2 linked regions of the Stegostoma tigrinum genome follow. The protein of the gene in region 1 binds, or shares a complex with, the protein of each later gene. Links are inferred from orthologs where the notes say so. Each region holds a gene or a part of one and is shown on either strand. Other genes may lie near its edges. The genes, in order: wrap53 and gar1.

What was found.
Region 2: wrap53 (region 1) and gar1 share a complex: the UniProt entries of both Homo sapiens proteins name them as parts of the telomerase holoenzyme complex. The link is inferred for Stegostoma tigrinum from reciprocal best matches to the Homo sapiens genes WRAP53 and GAR1.

The regions. Positions count from the first base shown.
Region 1 is NC_081398.1:3,816,679-3,828,485, forward strand, and holds the start of wrap53 (telomerase Cajal body protein 1), read right to left. Parts: upstream 5,841-11,807; 5' UTR 5,734-5,840; intron 5,305-5,733; exon of another isoform or gene 2,144-5,304; intron 1-2,143. Other genes in the region: transmembrane protein 217-like, read left to right, coding at 8,621-9,202. UniProt on the Homo sapiens protein: RNA chaperone that plays a key role in telomere maintenance and RNA localization to Cajal bodies. Specifically recognizes and binds the Cajal body box (CAB box) present in both small Cajal body RNAs (scaRNAs) and telomerase RNA template component (TERC).
Region 2 is NC_081354.1:61,439,520-61,451,577, forward strand, and holds the start of gar1 (H/ACA ribonucleoprotein complex subunit 1), read left to right. Parts: upstream 1-6,669; 5' UTR 6,670-6,819; intron 6,820-6,926; 5' UTR 6,927-6,999; intron 7,000-12,058. UniProt on the Homo sapiens protein: Required for ribosome biogenesis and telomere maintenance. Part of the H/ACA small nucleolar ribonucleoprotein (H/ACA snoRNP) complex, which catalyzes pseudouridylation of rRNA.

The sequences.
Region 1 (11,807 bases):
GGCAGCACCTGAAATATCTCTATTTTTCCTCTCTACTTGGCTTGCTGAGTTTCTCCAACACTTTCTGCTTCTGTGCCAAATTATTTCACAGAACGACATTTTAAAAAAAAAAGGAAGTGGAGGTGATTGCAATCCGGATTGGTCATAAGACAATGCATGAGAGATTGGCAAAGTGCCAAACAAGCTATTTAATCCAGGCCCAAAACGTCAGCTTTTGTGCTCCTGAGACGCTGCTTGGCCTGCTGTGTTCATCCAGCTCCACACTTTGTTACCTTGGATTCTCCAGCATCTGCTGTTCCCATTATCACTGAAGATCTTTAATCACTCTATTTTCTGTAAGCCAACTCCTCAGAATTTTGAATGATCTTGTTAAATTTCCTTTTAGTCACTGCTTGACCGAAAGAAATCTTTGTATTTATGTTTCTAAAACAAGATAGTATTGCTGCAAATTTGCAATGTACAAATTTGCAATTATGACCACAACCTCCTTCCGACAATTTGGAACCCCAAAACAAGTTGCCAAATCGCTGGAATTTAATTTTGATGCACCATTTAGAACATAGAACATAGAACAGTACAGCACAGAACAGGCCCTTCAGCCCACAATGTTGTGCCGACCATTGATCCTCATGTATGCACCCTCAAATTTCTGTGACCATATGCATGTCCAGCAGTCTCTTAAATGACCCCAAGGACCTGGCTTCCACAACTGCTGCTGGCAACGCATTCCATGCTCTCACAACGCATTCCATGCTTAATGCATAAAAACCCAAAAAGGATGTGTTAACAAGTGGCTAGCAAAAGAAATCAAGGATTTATTCGCATTAAAAGAAAATTCCTGTAAAATGGACAAAAGAAGGTAAACCTGAGGGTTGGGAGCATTTCACAAATCTATAAAAGAGTACCAAGGAAAAGGATAAGAAAGAGAAATTAGAATAAATCAGGAAACTGGCAAGAACCACAAAAACAGACTGTAAATTCTTCGAAAAGCTTGTACAGAGAGTCAGAAAGCAAATATGGATCCATTACAAGCAGAGGCTGGAGAATGCTTTTTGATTAATTCACAGAATGTGGGCATCGCTGGCTAGACCAGCATTTATTGCCCATCCCTAATTGCCTAGAGGGCAGTTCAGAGTCAACCACATTGCTGTGGGTCTGGAGTCCCATGTAGGCCAGATAAGGTAAGGATGGCAGTTTCCTTCCCTAAAGGGCATTAGTGAACCAGAAGGGGCTTTCCTGACAATCAGCAATGGTTTCAGGGTCATCATTAGATTGTTAATTCTAGATTATTATTGAATTCAAATTCTACCTATCTGCTGTGGCAGGTCCCCTGAACATTACCTGGGTCTGTGGATTAACACTTTATGATGATTCGACTAGGCCACTGCCTACCTGGAATGTAGGAATAAACAACTGACAGAGAAACTCAAAATACACTTCGGAACTTTTGGTATTCAACTACTAAACAAGGGTGACCAAGTCCCAGTTTTCCAGGAAATTCCTGGAATGAGCCAAAGCAAAACAACGAACTGCAGAGACTGAAAACAAACAAAAACATTCAGTTAAAAAAAACAAAACTCTGAAGATGGGTCACTGGACTCAACGCATTAATTCTTTTTGCTCCATGGATGTTGCCAAACCTGCTGAGTTTCTCCAACAATTTCTGTTTTTACTGAGGACAACAAATGCCAAGATCACGGCAGGTCAGACAGCATCCATGGAGAGAGATCAAGCGAACATTTCAAATCATCTCAACTCGAAACATTAGCTTGATCTCTCTCCATGGATGTTGTCTGACCTGCCATGATCTTCAGCCTTTGTTATTTTCAGTACAGGTTCCAGCATCTGCAGTAATTTGCTCCTAATTTCTGTATTTATGTTTCTGGGATGAACTAACGTGTTCTGGGCCAAAATGTCATCAGGTGAGTTTTCAGTTGGTAAACATTATTAACAAAAAGGAAACCATGGCCTAAAAACTACACTGTGGTTAATCAATAAAATGAGCAAGGTGGATGGAAGGGATGGCAGTCTTTAGGTTTCAACAAACATGAAGAGTAGATTCGTTAATGCACACAGATTCTGCTCCGTAATTGAAACACAAATGCTTCAGTTCTTACACCTACCGCATCAACCCCTCACTCACCAAGACTCTGGACGATAAAATTGTTACAGCATAGGCAGAATATGCCTGCATGTTCTTCCTTTTCAGGTGACAATTTTCTTTTGAATGTCCCAAACGAACTTTCCACTACCATACCTTGAGGCTATTTATTCCAGATCCTAAACTTACTTCATGAAAAATATTTATCATGTCTCCATTACTTCCTTGATTAATTATCTTAAATTTTTGACCTCTCATTCTCAATTCTTCCATCAGTAGGTACAGTCTTTCTCTATCGATTCTGCCAAGAACTCCTTATCCAATCTCCTCTAGACCCACTTTTCTCCAAAAAAAAACTCCAAGTACATGGTGGCTCAGTGGTGAGCACTGCTGCCTCACAGTGATGGGGATCTGGGTTCAATTCCACCCTCAAGCAACTGTCTACATTGGTTTTCTCCTACAGTCCAAAAGCTGTGCAGGTTAGGTGGACAGACCATTCTAAATCGCCCTTTAATGTCCAATTATGTGTAGGCTAGGTGGATAATAACCGCACATGGGGATAGGATCTGGTAGGATGCTCTTCAGAAGATCAGTGCAGACTCAATAGACCTTATTCTGCATTCTCCAATCTAACCATATGTCTGAAGTTCTCATCCCAGGAACTGTTCTCAGTAAACCTTTCCTGCACTTCCTCTAATGCCTCCATGTTTCCCAAAGTATGAACTCAGACCTGGATGCAAGGCTGCAATTGTTTCAAAATGAGTGTTTTATGTTGCATTGTATGGAGTTTTCTTGCCAATTTAACTGAACTCTGTTGGGGTCTAGTTATATGGATGCCTGAGCAGCCAAATCACAGCACCCTCTGTGGTCATGGATGCAAACTCTGCATCCCCAGATTCAATTCAGAAAGTACAAGTCTCCTCACATCCATCCCAGGCCTTTTTATGTTCTGAGGAAGGGTCTAAGGAGCTGAAACACTAACTCTGATTTCTCTCCATCCATTCTGCCAGACTTGCTCAGCTTTTCCAACAAGATCTGTTTTTATTTCCTTTTAAGGGATTATTTGTTTGATGTGCTGTTTCTATTGTGGAATGTGAAACCTCAAAGCCTTAACTAATGTCTCTTTGCAGGTTCAGAGGTATGTTTTGGTGAAATAATGAAGGCACATGATCATAACGTTTTCTACACATCTTGAGGGGTATAGTTAAGGTGAATTGCAGGTGTCTTTTCCCTATTTTGGGAGATTTCATATGTTGAAGGCAACAGGGGAAATATTTAAAAGGATGCAAAAGGCAGCTTTATTAAAAAAATATATACAGTGTGGCTCATATGTGGAATGAATTTCAGAGGAAGTGGTTGATGCAGGTACAGTTACATCATTCAAAAGACATTTCGATTAGTACATTAAAAAGAAAGGGTTTGGAAGGATATAGACCAAGGCAGGCAGGTGGGACTAGTTTAGTTTGGGATTATAGTCTGCACAGACTGGTTGGACTGAAGGGTCTGTTTCTATGGTCTTTGACTTCACAATTGGAATTCAGGTTATTTGGGGATGGGGAGGGAAAAGGGGACAAGGGATAAAGTCAAATCAAAACTTTAATGTATGGCAGAGCAGGCTTGATGGACCAAATTACAAACTAATTACCCTACTATTTTATGGTCACTCTCAAAGAAGTCCAATAACCCATAAAATACATAACATATTTCAAAGAAAAGTCACAGGACTCAAGACATTAACTGTTTCTCTCCCCACTAATACTACCAGACTTGCAAAATTTACTCCCTTTGGGACAGAGTTGCATAGTTTTACCACTCTCTGGGTAAAAATGTTTCTCCCAAGTTCCCCATTGGATTTCCTAGTGACTACCTTACATTGCAGCACAAAAGACAAAATTGAATTTTAACCAAAAAAAAATGAGAGTTTATGGCAAGGTTTATGTAGAGGGAAAGAGGCTGGGATCACCTAAAATAAAGTGCTAACTGTTAACCTTCTACAAGGAAAATATTGGATCCATGGGCACATAGCTCGAGTCTGTCTGCAACAAATGACCCTAAACTTCCTGTCGTCTTCATCTGGCGAAGGGGGTGGACTCTGAAAGCTTGTGACTTCAAATAAACCTGTTGAACTATAACCTGGTGTTGTGCGATTTCTGCCTTTATTCTTAGGCTGTGACCCCCTAGTTCTGGACTTCAACATCACGAACATTCTTCCTGCATCCAGCCTGTCGAATTCCATCACAATTTTGTGTTTCTTTGGGAACACCTCCTCCCCCAACCTTCATTCTTCTAAATTCCAGCAAGTGCAAGCCCTGTCAATCCAGTCTTTCTTCATTCATTAATGCCTCCATTCCGAGAATCAGTCTGGTGAACCTTCGCCGGACTTCCTCAACAGCAAAAGCATCCTTCATCAGACCAAAACTGCTCATAATTCTCAAGGTGTGGCCTCACTTAGGTCCTATATAACTGCAGCAAGACATGCCTACTCCAACATTCAAATCAAGTTCAATAATTTTAGAACAAAGAAAATTACAGTACAGGAACAGGTCCTTCGGCCCTCCAAGTCTGCACCGACATGCTGCCCGTCACAACTAAAACCCCCTATCCTTCCAGAGACCTTATCCCTCTATCCTATTCATATATTTGTAAAGACACCCTTTAAGAGTCACTATAGTTTCTTCTTTCACTATCACCCCCAGCAGAGTTCCAGGCACACTGTAAAAAAAAATGCCTCGTAAATCACCTTTAAACCTTGCCCCTCGCACCTTCAACCCCTGGCCCCAGGTAACTGACTCATCCACCTTGGGAAATGGCTTATGACTGTCCAGTCTGTCCATGCCCTTCACAATCTTGTAGACCTCTAGAGATAATGGGAAGTGCAGATGCTGGAGAATCCAAGATAACAAAGTGTGAAGCTGGATGAATACAGCAGGCCAAGCAGCATCTCAGGGGAACAAAGGCTGACATTTCAGGCCTAGACTTCTATCAGGTTTCCCCTCAACCACCGACATTCCAGTGCAAAAGACCCAAGTTTCTCCAACCTCTTCTCATAGCTCAGGCCCACCATGCCAGGCAACATGCTGGTAAATCTTTCTGTAGCTTCTCCAAAGTCACCACATCCTTCTGTTAGTGTGGCAACCAAAACTGAACGCAATATTCCAAAATAACAGAGTGTGAAGCTGGATGAACACAGCAGGCCAAGCAACAACGTTCCAAAAGCAGCCAAACTTAAGGTTCTATAAAGCTGCACCACTACCGGCAAATTTTTAAACTCAATGCCCCAGCTAGAGAAGGCAAGCGTGCTTTGCTGACTACCTTTTCCACCCACGTTGCCACTTTCAGTGACCTGTATACCTATACACCCAGATCCCACTGCCTAGTAGTACTCTTAAAGGTTCTGCCCTTAAGACCTGAGCATCTTGCACCTTCCCCTAACCCGAAACCACACCAGGCCTTGTCATCACACAGCCTACTACCACAAACTATCCCACTGTCAGCCATTAATTGTCCCCATTAGCAGCTATAGATCCTCCCAGGCTGATCACGACCCAGTCCCTCCACTCCGATCTCCTTCTCTAACATATATATCAACCCTTTCCAAGCTACAATGAGTTTTGAAGAAAAAGCCACTGGACCTGAAACGTTAATTCTGGGTTTTTTTTCCCCCTCTCTATCCACAGACGCTGCTGAGTCTCTCCAGCAGTTTCTGAGCCGCATCAGGGCTGCCACGCAGGCGTAGTGGCGACCAACCAGCCCGTCCTCCGGGAGATGGCGGTTGGCTGCGCGGCCAGATCACGTGCGAGCAGACGCGGTGGGATGGGGGCCGTTGGGCAGCGGCGCGGGAAATTCAAAACACGTCACTGAGGCGGGGGCGGGGCCGCTGCCATGGCAACCGAACCGGTGGGGGGGAACGTGAGTACTGAAAATGGCGCTAGGCCCCAAAGAGCTCAAGAGGCCAAAAATAAACGGCGAGTCTTGCGGCCGGCGGCAATTGGTACGCTGAGAGGCTTGGATACCATCGGACCGATGATGGTCCGGGGAACTGGTGAACCGATTGTGGGTCAGGTACAGGGGGAAATGGGGGACGTGGATAAATGGTGGTTGGGCCAATAGTGCTTTGGGTGGACCAACGATAGCTGTTGGAATACAGGTGTACCAATGGTGTTTTGGATACAAATGGACCAATGATGTTTTGGGGATGCAGATGAACCAATAGCAGTCTGGGGATACAAATAGACCGCTGGGGGCTTGTGGACAAACATGGACAAATGGTGGATATGGGGTACAGAGGGGCCAATGGTGAATTGGGGATACAGGTGGACCACTGATGGTTGAGCGCAAAATGACCAATGCAAGTTAGACTAATGGGGCTTTAGAGACCGGTAGACCAATGGTGTTTGAGCTCAGGTAACCACAACTGGTCAGACAAATAGTGCTTTTGGGAAGTGTGAGCCAGTGGTAGTTTGGGGGGTACAGGTGGACCAATGGTGGTTGCGGACAGAAGGACCAATAGTGCTTTTGGGACAGGTAAACCAGTGGTGGTTTGGGTGCAGGTCAGCCAATGGTGGTTGAGCATTTGTGGACTGATGCCATTTGGACCAATAGTGGGTTTGGGTGCACAGATGGGCAATGGTGGTTTAGGGGTATAAGTGGACCAGTGATGATTTGAGGGCATGGGTGGACCAATGGTAGTTGGACCAATGATGCTTTTGAAACAGGTAGATTAATAATGGCTTTGGGTCACAGATGGACCAATAAATGCTTTGTGCGTAGGTGGACCAATGGTATTTTGACCAATGATGACTTGGGTACAAGTAGACTAATGGTAATTTGGACACATGGACCAATGTAGTTTGGGCACAGGTGAACCAATGGTAGTTGGATAATGATGGTTTGACACAGGTGTTATGAGCGTTGCTAATCAAATTGATTGATTTGACCTGGATGGTGTGAAGTTTTGAGGGTTGTTGGAGCTGCATCTTTTTCAGATAATTGGAGAGTGTTCCTTTGGACTTCTGACTTGTGCCCTGAATTAGCTACAGGCACAGAGGGATGTCACGGGAGGGATATTTGAATTTTTACAGTGTGGAGCTGGAGGAACACAGAAGGTCAGGCAGCATCAGAGGAGCAGGAAAGTTGACGTTTCGGTTCAGGACCCTTCATCAATCCTGATGATCCAGAATGTTGACTTTCCTCCTCCTCTGATGCTGCCTGAGCTGCTGTGTTCCTCCAGCTCCACGCTGTATTGACTTTGACTCCAGCATCTGCAGTTCTTGTTATATCCTACTTGAATCTTTGCAAGTTTGAGGGATATCTGGATTCTCATCAATTTTGGAGATCTTATAAATTTAAGAGAATTTTGGTCTATATACAAATTTCAGAGTTGTGCAAGAATGAATAATTGTTTTGAAAGAATTTTGAGAATACCTGGACTCTTCACAGTTTGGAGGATGCATGGAATTATATTTTTGATACGTCTGGTCCAACAGTAGTTACAAGGATATCTGGATTTCATAATTTAAATCATGTCAGGGTTATTAATAGTTTGGAGGATGATAGGATTTTTGGAGGAGTTTGGAAACTTGCTTTTAGTGTACTGGGCCTGTGAAAAATGTGGGATCTGTGGATTTATGTTTCTATTTATTCATCTGAGGATGTCTGGAATATTAGCTTTCAGATATATCTTCAGTATTCATAGTTTGGGAGATAGAATTTTTTTTTTAGATTTGCTGGACCTTCACAATTTTTTTTCAGTTTGTGAATTGTCTGACTATTAAAGCATTGAGTTGCAGACATACATTGTGCCACTGTAGGCTGTATGCAAAACAGGAAAAAAAAGTCTCTGAAAGGACACATTTCATAGCTGAAAGCTATATCACGTTTGTTCCTCCTAAATATTGCTTCCCCTCAGTTCAGGAATAATTAGAAGGCAAACCAGCCCATTCAACACAATTGGTTTGTGTTGCTGATTTATCCTCCATTACGGCCTCTTTTGTCTTATCCTACAGACATGCCCTTCTATTGTGTTCTCCTTCATGTACTCCTCTGACTTCCTATTTGGCTGAACTCCCCTTTTGTGGGATCAAGTTCCATATCTTCCCCACTCACTGGGTAAAGAGGTTTCTCCTAACGCATCTCAATCGTCTCGAGGAAGGAGAAGAGCCCCCTACTCCCCAAGTTCCACCAATGGCCCAAGTGGCTGATTGTGGAAGGCCCATTGCCTGCCTGTTCAAACTTTGTTGAATCCTAATATTGTAAACAACTATTTATAGCAAATTGAGTCAGTTTGGGGTAGCTACATGTCATTGTCCTATAGGGAGTATTTAAAAGGAGGAGTTTTACAGAGTTTGCACCAGATTGGACTTGTTCTAGATCTGGAGAAATTAGGAAAGAGGAATCAACTGTACCAATGTTTGTTGTAAAATTTGTTTCAGTGAACTGTTTATCTTGCCTCACGATCCAATTTGCTGAAAAAAAGAAGCCCCTCAACTTTCAGAAGGATGTACAGCACCAAGAAACGAAATGCTGAACATTCGTAGCTTGCGCAACAGATTGAGAAAACTGAAATCTGGAAATTTGTGTGGGTTGAACGCCAAAGAAGGAAGTATTGTGGCTGGACTGTTCATGTTGATGGTATCCATCATGCAGCTCATTTTTGAAGCGGGGCATTTTCGTTACTTGAGGCCTCAGGTTATTCCTAGCTCCGTGAATCAAATTTCCCGACTTCAAATATACAGCATCATATCAATTATCTTTGTCTGTCTCACTCTGATCGCAATTATTCTCTTTTTCGTATCTATCTGGAAGGAGGTGTTCTGGGGAGTGGCAGGCTACATCATTTGGATATTCTTATATGAGATTTTACAGATTAGCCTCCTGAGTTTGTCACTGCCTGATCAAAATTGGTTCCCAAGCAGTGTGCGTGTGTTGGAATGGTTTGGGCTCATCACACGTCTGCTTTCGCACATTTTCTGGATGATTTTTGTGACTTCACATGCAATCGAATTGTACAAAACCATCAGGAACACTGATGATCCCATGAAAACCAAGAGGAAGACTCCACCAAAGCTCAAATTTGCAAAAGTCAAGGAACTGGGTGTGTAATCATGCCCCACAGTTTGTGGTGTCAGGTGACATTCCTTCTTCGACCAAAGAAACGTTCTCCAAGCCATACTGGGCTTCCTCCAGACTGTCGTCCCACAGACAGTGAAGGCCAGGTCAGCTCCTTTCAGTTGCAAGCTGACACAATGGCATCCTTACAGCAAAGTTAAACCTGCAATACCCACAAATGTCCAGGATTTTAACCGATGGTGGATTATTGGGATGCCTATTAAATATGTTAAAATACGTGTAAATATGGATGTATATTGTATATTTTACAGCACTCTCCAGACCGATAAGGGTACAATATATTTTTGATTTTTTAAAAATACTGTACTGATCGAAACATTTGTATATAACTCCAGTTGATTCTAAAGACGAATTGTAACCCTTTTTTAAAAATTAAGTTGTTACAATTAATAATTCTTATTAAAAAGTTAACATTTTGTTTAGTTCTGTTTCGTTTGTAAATGGAGGATAAGCTCCTAGGTTGCCCAGTTGGTAATACCAGCAAAGGAGTAACTGCTGTGCAATAACATTTTCCATTATAATAAGAGCAGCATTTCAGATCAATGAGTCATAAATAGTGTAATAGAGTGGGAAAGCAAAGAACTTATGAAGCATATTAATTCAGTCTGATTCTAGGCACCACGCTTTATGAGCAATTTCAAGGCCTTAGAGAAGATGTTTGTGATGTGGAAAGACTGAACAAGCTGGTCTCGTTCTCCTGAGAACGGGGAAGGTTCAGGAGATATTGAATAGAGGTGTTTGAAATCATGGATGTGGGTAGAAAAATTGTTTGCGATGCACGAAATCACAGGACATCGAATAGAGATAATTGTGAATGGAAACAGAGCGCAGATAATTTTTACCTTTAGTGCAGCAAGCTATGGTGATCTGAAACACACTGCCTGAAAGGGCAGTAGAAGTAAATTCAGTAGCAGCTTTGAAAAGAGAATTCAGTGACCGCTTAAAGGGAAAAGTTGCAGGATCATGCCAAGAAAGAGGAGGGAAGGGCAATTAACTTGATGGCTCTTTTAAAGACTGAGTAGAGAAAACATGCGACAAAGAGATTGAATAGGGAGGTGTGAATTACTGAGACTGGGTGATTGGCAGTGGATAAATATGTCTGCTGTCAAGACAGGATCAAATTAAATTAGTCAGAGACCTCACACTATTCAGGTTCACACCAAATCCTGCTATAATTCAGATGTGATGTGAAGCCATGTGCCAACTTTGGCTCGTCAAACCATAAGGATCAACATGAATTTAAAACTCACAGACCACTTTTTTTGATCTTTCAGCAAAACATCTGCTCTTGCTCTAAACCATGCTGATGTAGATTAATGTTATAGAATTATAAAACAGTTACAGCACAACCTTTTGGCCTGTTTTGCCCTCGCCTGGCTGCATGAGCACAACTCATTTTGTCTCACTTGTTTCCAACAACCACCCCCACCATAGTTCTGCAATTTTTGTCCTCATGTTGCCATTGGATCTTTTACCAATTACCTTAACTCTGTGTCCCCATGTTCTTGATTCTTACAGCAATTGGATCAGTTTCTTCTCATCTAATCTGTCTAGACCCCTCATGATTTTGAACTTCTCTATCAAATCTTCTCTCAACTTTCTTCAACCCCTTCAAGGGGCTTAACTCTTATTTTGAGGGGCTAGTTAGCTCAGTTGGCACAACAGCATGGTGTGATCCCCATTCTGGGAATTACATTCTTACTCTTCCTTGTAGCAAGATCAGTCACAGCACAACCTATAGTTAGGCAACCCTCTCATACTCAAGGATGCTTGCTGAAGTTAAGGAAACATAAATTCCTTGCTCTTCAAGTGTTATTTTTAACCTCGAGACCTGTAATCTCACTAAATCTTGAGTTAATTAGCTTGTGTTACAAAATATCCAGGATGTCCAGCTGACATTGTATAAAAACTGTCAAATCAGGAAAGACAACCGTGCTCTTTTTTAATATATATTTAACTGTAAACATCAACATTTTATTGTCCTACAAAACCTAGGAATTGGCTTATTGTATAAAAAAACAACCATCTGTGCCACAGTAATGGGACAGAGATAGTAACACTGATATATCAAGAAATGTCAACAGGAACAGAATTAGCAATAAATGCAGGAAAAGTTCACTAGTAAGATGGAATTCCTCAGATGGTCATGTTCTATGGTTCTGATTCTACGAATTGCTTTGGGGAATTTAAAAATTCATTTTCAGGTTATTGCTATATGCGAAACCATGGTCTTTGTTTACTTTCAATTGTGGTTAAGAACCTTGTTCGTGAGGAGCATTAATGCTTTTAGTAATGGCAGGGTAATCTGGGAGAAACAGACTGTTCGATTGGGTGATCCGATCAGTTAGCGAGCAATGTATGCTTTCTGAATAGCCATGGGAAGTCAGAATGTAGTGAAGATAGACAGTTTGGATGTCCAATGAGGAAATGTGTCTGGAGGTCATGTGATAACAGCTGGCATATATCCCATTAGTTTCAGTGATGTTTAAGGGGAGGGTGACTCAAATGCAGGATTACAATCATTGCCCTCTTTGTCCACAGCTTCCAGTGGCTAGGTTCACCAATTCAGCGAGCGCTG
Region 2 (12,058 bases), on another chromosome or scaffold:
AAGTTGCAGCCCTTGAAGAATGAGGACATCTGGGATGTACGGGAATGGAATGCCTCTTCCTGGGAGCAGATGCGGCAGAGGCGAAGGAATTGGGAATAAGGGATGGAATTTTTGCAGGAAGCTGGGTGGGAGGAGGTGTATTCTAGGTAGCTGTGGGAGTCAGTGGGCTTGAAATGGACATCAGTTTCTCGCTGGTTACCTGAGATGGAGACTGAGAGGTCCAGGAAGGTGAGGGATCTGTTGGAGATGGTCCAGGTGAACTTGAGGTTGGGGTGGAAGGTGTTGGTGAAGTGGATGAACTGTTCGAGCTCCTCTTGGGAGCGTGAGGCGGCGCCGATACGGTCATCAATGTAACGGAGGAAGAGGTGGGGTTTTGGGGCCACTGTAGGTGCGGAAGAGGGACTGTTCCACATAACCTACAAGGAGGCAGGCATAGCTTGGGCACATGTGGGTACCCATGGCCACCCCTTTGCCCGTCGCAAGTGGGAGGAATCGAAAGAGAAGTTGTTGAGGGTGAGGATGAGTTCGGCTAGGCTTTTGTACTCCTAAGATGCTGCAGGGCCTGCTGTGTACATCTCAGATTCTCTAGCATCTGCAGTTCCCATTATCTCTGGTCATATCTTTACCTGCCTTAGTCACAGCTTGTGGATTGTGTTGGGCCTCACTTACTCAGTATACTTACAATGACGGACGCTAGAAGGTCTTCTGGGTGGGCCTTGGCAAATAGTGACACAGAACAAAAGGCCAAAGGGATAGAGTTCAGAAGAAAAGAAACAGGGCTGTCAATGTTGTTTGTGAATATTGGTTTGTGTTCAGAATGTGCATCAACTACCTTCTATTGTCCAACAATGTCAGATCTGGCGATGGGTTTCCCGGGGGTGGTTATTGATCTATGTGGGTCTCAGCAGCACCCGGCGGGTTTGGAGGTTTCTCCATCATCTTCAAAATTACTGTGGCCCAAAACGTCTCCAGGGCTCCATGGGAGATGTTCCCACAGTTCGATACATTCAAGAGATGATGAATGGTCTGCTCTGAAGAGTCAAAACACTAATTAGCTTCACAATTGATCATAACAGCCAGACTGCAAGAATATGGTTCATGTCGTTCCCAGGATATAATCAACGACAGCCACGTGGCTTTTCGATGGGAACAGAGAAGAACATGAGCAAGTAATCATGGCACCGAGAAATGTGATGTGAAGGAGCTGGTGTTGGACTGGAGTGGACAAAGTCAGAAGTTCCATGACACCCAGTTATTTGAAAGCAGTGCTCTGAAAGCTTGTGATTTCAAATAAACCTGTTGGACTCTCACCTTGTGTCATGTGACTTTGGAATTTGACCAAAAAATATGTCAGGGCTTTCAGAGACCATCTCATCTTCATATGTTTTGCCCAGAATGAGGTGCCTACACACCCAGCAGTATGGCTTGTACAAACCACACAAAAATCCACATCAAGACTGGCACCAAGTTATTTGAGAGCCCCCTTTCCCTCCCCCACTTCTGATGAAGGGTCTAGGCCCGAAACGTCAGCTTTCCTGGTCCTAAGATGCTGCTTGGCCTGCTGTGTTTATCCAGCTCCACACCTTGTTATCTCGGATTCTTCAGCATTTGCAGTTCCCATTATCTCTGATACAATTTTGACCCCACTGCGAAGCCTCTTCTAAGGATGCCTGACCTGAAGAAGTTACCCTCCGGAGAAACCTCAGGGGATCTCTCTCCCACTGCAACTCTCTCGTAATCTCTTCGGCCTTGAAACTACTCGACCACGTCCTGAAGCAAACCAGGTACTACAGCCACATCACCTTCCTCAGCACCTGCCTACAGAACCAGATCATCCCCAATGGACTACAGTCCACATTCAAGCCTTCCCAATTTTGCCCCAGCCGTGAGAATATCTACATTCAGAACATTGAGACCCTTCAGAAGCGTTTCTCCCTGCGAGTCCTGAAACAGACACTCGCAGCCATACGCCGGCATCTCCAGGCACTGAAATCCAGCCTACTCCAGCTCAGAGCCTCTCTCTCCCAGACCTGCAAAGGACCTCTCCTGTTTTTTATTCTTCGTAGGATCCACAACCTGAACTCACAATTCTACTCAGCTTCATTAGCCACTAAAAACCGTAAGCACAGCAAACTCACTGGCCCCTGCCACCTAAAATGGGATTCCTCCACCTCCCAAATCCCCAGCCCTACCCGGACCTTCCCCACAATGTGCCCACTGACATTGGCCACGACGCCACTGTCGGAATACCCACTGATGACGTCACATCCGCCACCACCGGGAACACCACTTCCGGGACAGCAAACACCATCGCTGCTGTAGCCACCGCCTCCACTTCCGAAACCAATACCACAGACATTACCGACACCGCTACTGCCACCACCTACCCGGCTCTGCCCATTGCCGACGCCGCTCCATCCATGACGGATGTGGACGCAACTCCGCCCACCACTAACGACGACACAACTCTGCCCACTGCTGATGCTCATGGAGCTCCGCCTACAGCCGAGGCCGGTGCAACTCCGCCCACCAGTGACGCCGACGCAACCCCGCCCACAGCCGATGCCGACGCAACCCCGCCCACAGCCGATGCCGACGGAACCCCGCCCACGGCTGACGCCGACGGAACCCCGCCCACAGCTGACGACCTCATCGCTCCGCCCACAGCCTCCACAGCCAGCAACCCCAGAGAAGACAGCCACACTGAGCCCTGCCGAATCTTCACTATGCCCCCAGACTTCCCTCTGACTGAGGTCGAAGGGTCAGTCCTAAGCAAGGGGCTCACCTTTGTCCCCCTACAACTACACATCAATGAATACCTGTCGCGTCTGGATATTGAGCAGTTTTTCCGCCGCCTTTGCCTCCACGCTTATTTCTTTAACCGTGAGCCCAACCCTCCCTCTACTGACCCCTTCTCCCGCCTCCAACACAAGTCCTCCTCCCGGACAACACCCCCAGGCCTACTACCCTCCCTCGACCTCTTCATCTCTAACTGCCGTCGAGACATTAACCGCCTCAACCTCTCCACCCCTCTCACCCACTCCAACCTCTCCCCCGCAGAACAGGCAGCCCTCCGCTCCAACCCCAACCTCACCATCAAAGCTGCAGATAAGGGAGGTGCAGTTGTAGTATGGCGCACTGACCTCTACATCGATGAGGCCAGACGCCAACTTTCCGATACCTCCTCCTACCGCTCCCTGGATCATGACCCCACCCCCGAAAACCAAACCATCATCTCCCAAACCATCCACAACTTCATCACCTCAGGTGATCTCCCACCCACAGCCTCCAACCTCATCATTCCCCAGCCCCGCACCGCCCGCTTCTATCTCCTTCCCAAAATCCACAAACCTGCCTGCCCTGGTCGACCCATTGTCTCCGCCTGCTCCTGCTCCACCGAACTCATCTCCACCTATCTGGACTTCATTTTCTCCCCCTTGGTCTAGGAACTCCCCACCTATGCCCGTGATGCGACCCACATCCTCCACCTCCCCCAGAACTTCCAATTCCCCGGTCCCTAACACCTCATTTTCACCATGGACGTCCAGTCCCTATACATCTGCATTCCCCATGCAGATGGCCTAAAGGCCCTCCGCTTCTTCCTGTCCCGCAGACCCAACCAGTCCCCCTCCACCAACACCCTCATCCGCCTGGCTGAACTCATCCTCACCCTCAACAACTTCTCTTTCCACTCCTCCCACTTCCTGCAGAAAAAAGGGGTGGATATGGGCCTCCGCATGGGCCCAAGCTTTGCCTGCCTCTTTGTAAGTTACATGGAACAATACCTCTTCTGTAGCTACGCTGGCTCTAAACCCCACTTCTTCCTCCGGTACATTGATGACTGTATCGGTGCCGCCTCATGCTCCCACGAGGAGCTCAAACAGTTCATCCACTTCACCAACACGTTCCACACCAACCTTAAGTTCACCTGGACTATCTCTAAAACCTCCCTCACCTTCCTGGACCTCTCAGTCTCCATCTCAGGCAACCAGCTTGTAACTGATGTCCATTTCAAGCCCACTGACTCCCACAGCAACCTAGAATACACCTCCTCCCACCCACCCTCCTGCAAACATTCCACCCCCTATTCCCAATTCCTTCGCCTCTGCCGCATCTGCTCCCAGGATGAGGCATTCCACTCCCGTACATCTCAGATGTCCTTGTTCTTCAAGGACCACAACATCCACCCCGCAGTGGTTGAGAACGCCCTCGACCGTGTCTCCTGCTTTTCCCACAACTCATTCCTCACACCCCGTCCCCGTAATAACCATCAAACCAGAATCCCTCTAGTCCTCACGTACCACCCCACCAACCTCTGGATACAATGCATCATCCGCCGACACTTCCACCATCTGCAATCCGACCCCACCACCTACCTCGTCCTCCCTACCCTTGTCTGCCTTCTGGAGGGACCACTGTCTCCGCGACTCCCTTGTGCGCTCCACACTCCCCTCCAACACCACCACACCCAGCACTTCTCCCTGCAACCGCAGGAAGTGCTACTCTTGCCCCCACACCTCCTCCCTCACCCCCATCCCAGGCCCAAGATGACTTTCCACATCAAGCAAAGGTTCACCTGCACATCTGCCAATGTGGTATACTGTATCCATTGTACCTGGTGTGGCTTCTTCTACATTGGGAAAACCAAGTGGAGGCTTGGGGACTGCTTTGCAGAACATTGCTCGGTTTGCAATAAACACCTGCACCTCCCAGTTGCGAACCATTTCAACTCCCCCTCCCATTCCTCAGATGACATGTCCATCCTGGGCCTCCTGCAGTGCCATAACGATGCCACCCGAAGGTTGCAGGAACAGCAACTCATATTCCGCTTGGGAACCCTGCAGCCCAATGGTATCAATGTGAACTTCACCAGCTTCAAAATCTCCCCCTCCCCCTACCACATCTGAAAACCAGCGAAATTCATCCCCGCCTCCCTGACCTGTCCTTCCTCCCACCTATCCTCTCCTCCCACCTCAAGCCCCACCCCCATCTCTGACCTACTAACCTCATCCCGCCCCCTTGACCTGTCCGTCCTCCCCGGACTGACCTATCTCCTCCCTACATCCCCACCCACACTCATCTTTACTGGCGCCATCCCCACCCCTTTAACTTGTCTGTCTCCTCTCCACCTATCTTCTCCTTCATTGACAGTATGCAGAGATGGGCTGAGAAATGGCAGATAGAGTTCAACCTGGATAAATGCAAAGTGATGCATTTTGGAAGGTCGACCTTAAATGCTGAATATAGGATTAAAGGCAGGATTCTCGGCAGTGTGGAGGAACAGCAGGATCTTGGTGTTCAAGTGCATAGCTCCCTCAAAGTTGCCACCCAAGTGGATAAGGTTGTTAAGAAAGCATATGGTGTTTTGGCTTTCATTAACAGAGGGATTGAGTTTAAGAGCCGTGAGGTTTTGCTGCAAGTCTACAAAACCCTGGTGAGACCACACATGGAATATTGTGTCCAGTTCTGGTCGCACTATTATAGGAAAGATGTGGAGGCTTTGGAGAGGGTGCAAAGGAGGTTTACCAGGATGCTGCCTGGACTGGAGGGCTTGTCTTACGAGGAGGGTTGACTGAGCTTGGACTTTTCTCTCTGGAGAGAAGGAGGAAGAGAGGTGACCTGACCAAGGTGTACAAGGTAATGAGAGGCATGGATAGAATCGATAGCCAGAGACTTTTCCCCAGGGCAGGACTGACTGCCACGAGGGGTCATAGTTTTAAGGTGTTTGGAGGGAGGTATAGAGGAGACGTCAGAGGGAGGTTCTTCACCCAGAGGGTTGTGAGCGCATGGAATAGTTTACCAGTGGTAGTTGTGGAAGCGGAGTCATTAGTGACATTTAAGCGACTGCTGGATGTGCACATGGGCGGCAGTGAATAGAGGGGAATGTAGGTTAGGTTATTTTATTTTTGGATTAGGATTATTCCAAGGCACAACATCGTGGTCCGAAGGGCCTGTACTGTGCTGTACTTTTCTATGTTCTATGTTCCCCTATCCATCTTCTGTGTGCCTCCCCCTCTCTCCCTATTTATTTCAGAATCCCCTTCCCCTTCCCCATTTCTGAAGAAGGGTCTAGGCCCAAAACGTCAGCTTTTGTGCTCCTGAGATGCTGCTTGGTCTGCTGTGTTCATCCAGCTCTACACATTGTTATCCTGGATTCTCCAGCATCAACAGTTCCTATTATCTCTCATCACCAATAACCTCCTCACTGATAGCCTGGCCTCAGCCATGGTCATGCAGCTCCAAACTAGGTTTTGGCCCATACAGGGTCAAAAGAAGCGAACTCCAGAAGTGAGCATTATGAAACTTAGCAAAGAACTAGCGGAGAAGATTTCCATGAGGTCAGGAATGGGATACTCAACATCTTGCTCTGATAAGGGTGCATTGGTTTCGCACATTCAATCCTGAGCACATTTGACATTCTTTGTTCTCGCCCATATACGTGTAATGTTCTGCAAGTATTCAGCTCAAAGTTTCCCTGCAAAGAATTTCTCAGCAGTTTGAGGGAGGCTCTTCAACGTAGCTATATGACATGAGCCACCAGGAACTGCCAAACCAAAGGTGCCCAGTTGTAATTCCCAATTGTTTCGCTGCTGGTGCAATGCTCGTACTCTCTCGCTAGAGGGTGCGCCACCGCGCCGTGCGCTTGCGAAGAGGGCACGCAGACCGGTAACTGTAATACGGCAGGTCACGGATGTTAAGAAGCGTCCCAAAACTGACGTAAAGTTCCGGTCTCTGTAATGCACTCATTGAAAACCCTGGAACAATGTCGAGGGCGGATCCGGGTTTGAAATGTCATAGGCGTCCTTGAAGTTTGTAAAGGTAAAATAATTTCAAGGAATTGTAATACAGAGGCAGTAGTAGGTTCTTACAGGACTCAAAAAGCGGGTTAAGTTTAGGATTGTGTGTGTGTTTTTTGTTCCCTGCAGCCGGGATTGAGTGCACGTGGCTGAAGAAGGAGCGCGTGCTCCGGGTAACATTCTATCTCTGGGCCAGGGTTCGGTGAGTGAGTGGAGCCGCGCGCTGCCCGGGGGACCACGTTGCACGGAGTGGCTCTTGCACCGGGAGTGCATCGGATCTTTGGGCTCCTTCCTGTGACAGGCATGGCGACTGCTCAGAGGGTCGACCCAGAAACTGGCTTTCACGACAAGCTATGTGCTCCTACATTTCCATTGTGCTCACCCCACACCCCCCGCCATTTAATTTTGCGCTGCAGGCTTTGCAATAGTGACATTCAAAAGAATTGAATTCAAGGCAATGGCTTCATATGTTTCAGAGATAATGGGAACTGCAGATGCTGGAGATTCCAAGATAATAAAATGTGAGGCTGGATGAACACAGCAGGCCAAGCGGCATCTCAGGAGCACAAAAGCTGACGTTTCGGGCCTAGACCCTTCATCAGAGAGGGGGATGGGGGGAGGGAACTGGAATAAATAGGGAGAGAGGGGGAGGCGGACCGAAGATGGAGAGAAAAGAAGATAGGTGGAGAGAGTATAGGTGGGGAGGTAGGGAGGGGATAGGTCAGTCCAGGGAAGACGGACAGGTCAAGGAGGTGGGATGAGGTTAGTAGGTAGCTGGGGGTGCGGCTTGGGGTGGGAGGAAGGGATGGGTGAGAGGAAGAACCGGTTAGGGAGGCAGAGACAGGTTGGACTGGTTTTGGGATGCAGTGGGTGGGGGGGGGGAAGAGCTGGGCTGGTTGTGTGGTGCAGTGGGGGGAGGGGATGAACTGGGCTGGTTTAGGGATGCAGTGGGGGAAGGGGAGATTTTGAAACTGGTGAAGTCCACATTGATACCATATGGCTGCAGGGTTCCCAGGCGGAATATGAGTTGCTGTTCCTGCAACCTTCGGGTGGCATCATTGTGGCAGTGCAGGAGGCCCATGATGGACATGTCATCAAGAGAATGGGAGGGGGAGTGGAAATGGTTTGCGACTGGGAGGTGCAGTTGTTTGTTGCGAACTGAGCGGAGGTGTTCTGCAAAGCGGTCCCCAAGCCTCCGCTTGGTTTCCCCAATGTAGAGGAAGCCGCACCGGGTACAGTGGATGCAGTATACCACATTGGCAGATGTGCAGGTGAACCTCTGCTTAATGTGGAATGTCATCTTGGGGCCTGGGATGGGGGTGAGGGAGGAGGTGTGGGGACAAGTGTAGCATTTCCTGCGGTTGCAGGGGAAGGTGCCGGGTGTGGTGGGGTTGGAGGGCAGTGTGGAGCGAACAAGGGAGTCACGGAGAGAGTGGTCTCTCCGGAAAGCAGACAGGGGAGGGGATGGAAAAATGTCTTGGGTGGTGGGGTCGGATTGTAAATGGCGGAAGTGTCGGAGGATAATGCGTTGTATCCGGAGGTTGGTAGGGTGGTGTGTGAGAAAGAGGGGGATCCTCTTGTGGCGGGGGCGGGGTGTGAGGGATGTGTCACGGGAGATGCGGGAGACGCGGTCAAGGGCGTTCTCAATCACCGTGGGGGGAAAGTTGCGGTCCTTAAAGAACTTGGACATCTGGGATGTGCGGGAGTGGAATGTCTTATCGTGGGAGCAGATGCGGCGGAGGCGGAGGAATTGGGAATAGGGGATGGAATTTTTGCAGGAGGGTGGGTGGGAGGAGGTGTATTCTAGGTAGCTGTGGGAGTCGGTGGGCTTGAAATGGACATCAGTTACAAGCTGGTTGCCTGAGATGGAGACTGAGAGGTCCAGGAAGGTGAGGGATGTGCTGGAGATGGCCCAGGTGAACTGAAGGTTGGGGTGGAAGGTGTTGGTGAAGTGGATGAACTGTTCGAGCTCCTCTGGGGAGCAAGAGGCGGCGCCGATACAGTCATCAATGTACCGGAGGAAGAGGTGGGGTTTGGGGCCTGTGTAGGTGCGGAAGATGGACTGTTCCACATAACCTACAAAGAGGCAGGCATAGCTGGGGCCCATGCGGGTGCCCATGGCCACCCCCTTAGTCTGTAGGAAGTGGGAGGAGTCAAAAGAGAAGTTGTTGAGTGTGAGGACGAGTTCCGCTAGGCGGATGAGAGTGTCGGTGGAGGGGGCCTGGTCGGGCCTGCGGGACAGGAAGAAGCGGAGGGCCTTGAGTTCTTTAAGGACCGCAACTTTCCCCCCACGGTGATTGAGAACGCCCTTGACCGCGTCTCCCGCATCTCCCGCGACACATCCCTCACACCCCGCCCCCGCCACAACCGCCCCAAGAGGATCCCCCTCGTTCTCACACACCACCCTACCAACCTCCGGATACAACGCATTATCCTCCGACACTTCCGCCATTTACAATCCGACCCCGCCACCCAAGACATTTTTCCATCCCCTCCCCTGTCTGCTTTCCGGAGAGACCACTCTCTCCGTGACTCCCTTGTTCGCTCCACACTGCCCTCCAACCCCACCACACCCGGCACCTTCCCCTGCGACCGCAGGAAATGCAACACTTGTCCCCACACCTCCTCCCTCACCCCCATCCCAGGCCCCAAGATGACATTCCACATTAAGCAGAGGTTCACCTGCACATCTGCCAATGTGGTATACTGCATCCACTGTACCCGGTGCGGCTTCCTCTACATTGGGGAAACCAAGCGGAGGCTTGGGGACCGCTTTGCAGAACACCTCCGCTCAGTTCGCAACAAACAACTGCACCTCCCAGTCGCAAACCATTTCCACTCCCCCTCCCATTCTCTTGATGACATGTCCATCATGGGCCTCCTGCACTGCCACAATGATGCCACCCGAAGGTTGCAGGAACAGCAACTCATATTCCGCCTGGGAACCCTGCAGCCATATGGTATCAATGTGGACTTCACCAGTTTCAAAATCTCCCCTTCCCCCACTGCATCCCTAAACCAGCCCAGTTCATCCCCTCCCCCCACTGCACCACACAACCAGCCCAGCTCTTCCCCCCCCCCACCCACTGCATCCCAAAACCAGTCCAACCTGTCTCTGCCTCCCTAACCGGTTCTTCCTCTCACCCATCCCTTCCTCCCACCCCAAGCCGCACCCCCAGCTACCTACTAACCTCATCCCACCTCCTTGACCTGTCCGTCTTCCCTGGACTGACCTATCCCCTCCCTACCTCCCCACCTACACCCTCTCCACCTATCTTCTTTACTCTCCATCTTCGGTCCGCCTCCCCCTCTCTCCCTATTTATTCCAGTTCCCTCCCCCCCATCCCCCTCTCTGATGAAGGGTCTAGGCCCGAAACGTCAGCTTTTGTGCTCCTGAGATGCTGCTTGGCCTGCTGTGTTCATCCAGCCTCACATTTTATTATCTTGGCTTCGTGTGTTTGTTTCCCCAGTTGAGATGATCACTGAAGAGTTACAGCGACGATAAGGGCCCCTGGATTGGTTTAGGGCGTGAAGGAATCGATCCGAAATAAGGAGGTCCTGAGCAATGAAGGTTTAGAGGATAGGAAGAGCTTCTCAAGCTGGGACAAAGCCATTTACTTGGGAATGAAGTGCTTTTCTTTCATAATTCTAATGCACATTTTTGAAATGATTTATGGGCTCCAGTTCTCCTGTACTGTCCTGCGAGTCGTTCTCACAGGCTGTTCAGTATCCCTTTCTGACACCTATTTGAAATCAGCAGAGTAAAATTTCCTAATCCCTAACAAAAATGAGCTGGAATACGCAAATGGTTAGCAAGGGGACGTTTGAAAAAAGTGCAAGCAATCAATCTTGCTGATGAAAGTGCGAGATTTTAAGGCTTATCTCGCAGGTGCTAGGTTTTGTGAGTGATCTTGTTCATTCTGAAAGAGTGGCCAGGTAGGGAGCTGAAGTTTGGACAGGTAACAAAAGGAGAATGCAATTTAGCAGTCCCTTTAGAGAGATCAGAGGGTTGGGAAAAGTACAAGCACACAGTGGGTCAGACACCGTCTGTTGCGAAAGGAACAGTTGCTGTTTCAGGCTAATGACTACTTAGAATGTTTGTCTGAGGAAACTGGACTAAAGAAAGTTAGGGGTAGCACAGTGGCTCGGTGGTTAGCATTGTTGCCTCACAGCACCAGGAGCCCATGTTCCATCCCACCCTTGGGCCACTGTGTGGAGTTTGCATGTTCTGTCTGTGTCAGCGTGGATTTCCTCCAGGTACACTAGTTTCCTTCCACAGCCCAAAGATGTGCAGGCTGGGTGGATTGTTCGTGCTAAATTGCCGGTGGTGTTCAGAGCTGTGTACATTTGTTGCATTGGGTCTGGGTGGGATGCTGTGAGGGTCACCATGGACTTGTTGGGCTAAAAGGCCACACTCTGGGGATTCTATGATCAATGATTTGGCCTTCGAGATGAGAAAGCATCACGTCGAAACAGACTTTGAAACAAAATAGATGTCAAGAGGAAGTAATAATTAAGAAGAGATACTGGGAACTGCAGGTGCTGGAGAATCCGAGATAACAAAGTGTAGAGCTGGATGAACACAGCAGGTCCAGCAGCATCTTAGGATCACAAGAACTGACGTTTCAAGCCTAGACCCTTCATCAGAAAAATAAGAATCAGAATCAGAAATCAGAAATAACTAAGAAGTGTAGGTGGGTCAAGTATGTTTTGAAGGCTACAGGCACAGTCTAGAAAAAGGGAATGGTGGACAGTGACAGTGGGAGCCAGAATTGGATCTAGGAAACCAAAGGTGCATCTTGTGCTACGAGATCAGAGGTTGCATATAATTGACAGCAGACAGGAAAAGACATCAGTGTGTACATTCGCTACTACCCCATTGAGATCAGGGTGAAGTCTAAATCAAATAAAAACACAGGCTAATTAATGGAAAGGAACCTGGAAAAGTAGCTTTGACTTGTACAACAAGAACATGTCCGTATGACCACTTTTTTAGCTTGATTATGATTTGTACACTTCAGTAGCTTGTTCCACAGACCCATTATTCCCTTGGAAAGTATTAATCTTTTGATATTTGACCTAGATCATGACTTGCATAATTAGAGATTATGACCTTAGACTGAAAAGAAAGAAATTCAGCACTTAATCATCTACAAGTAATAGTTCTTTTGGTAATGTAGAATTTAAGTATTAGTGATAAAAGGCCATATTTAAAATTTATCATCTGGCATACGTTGATATTACTTGTGAATTGTGCTAAT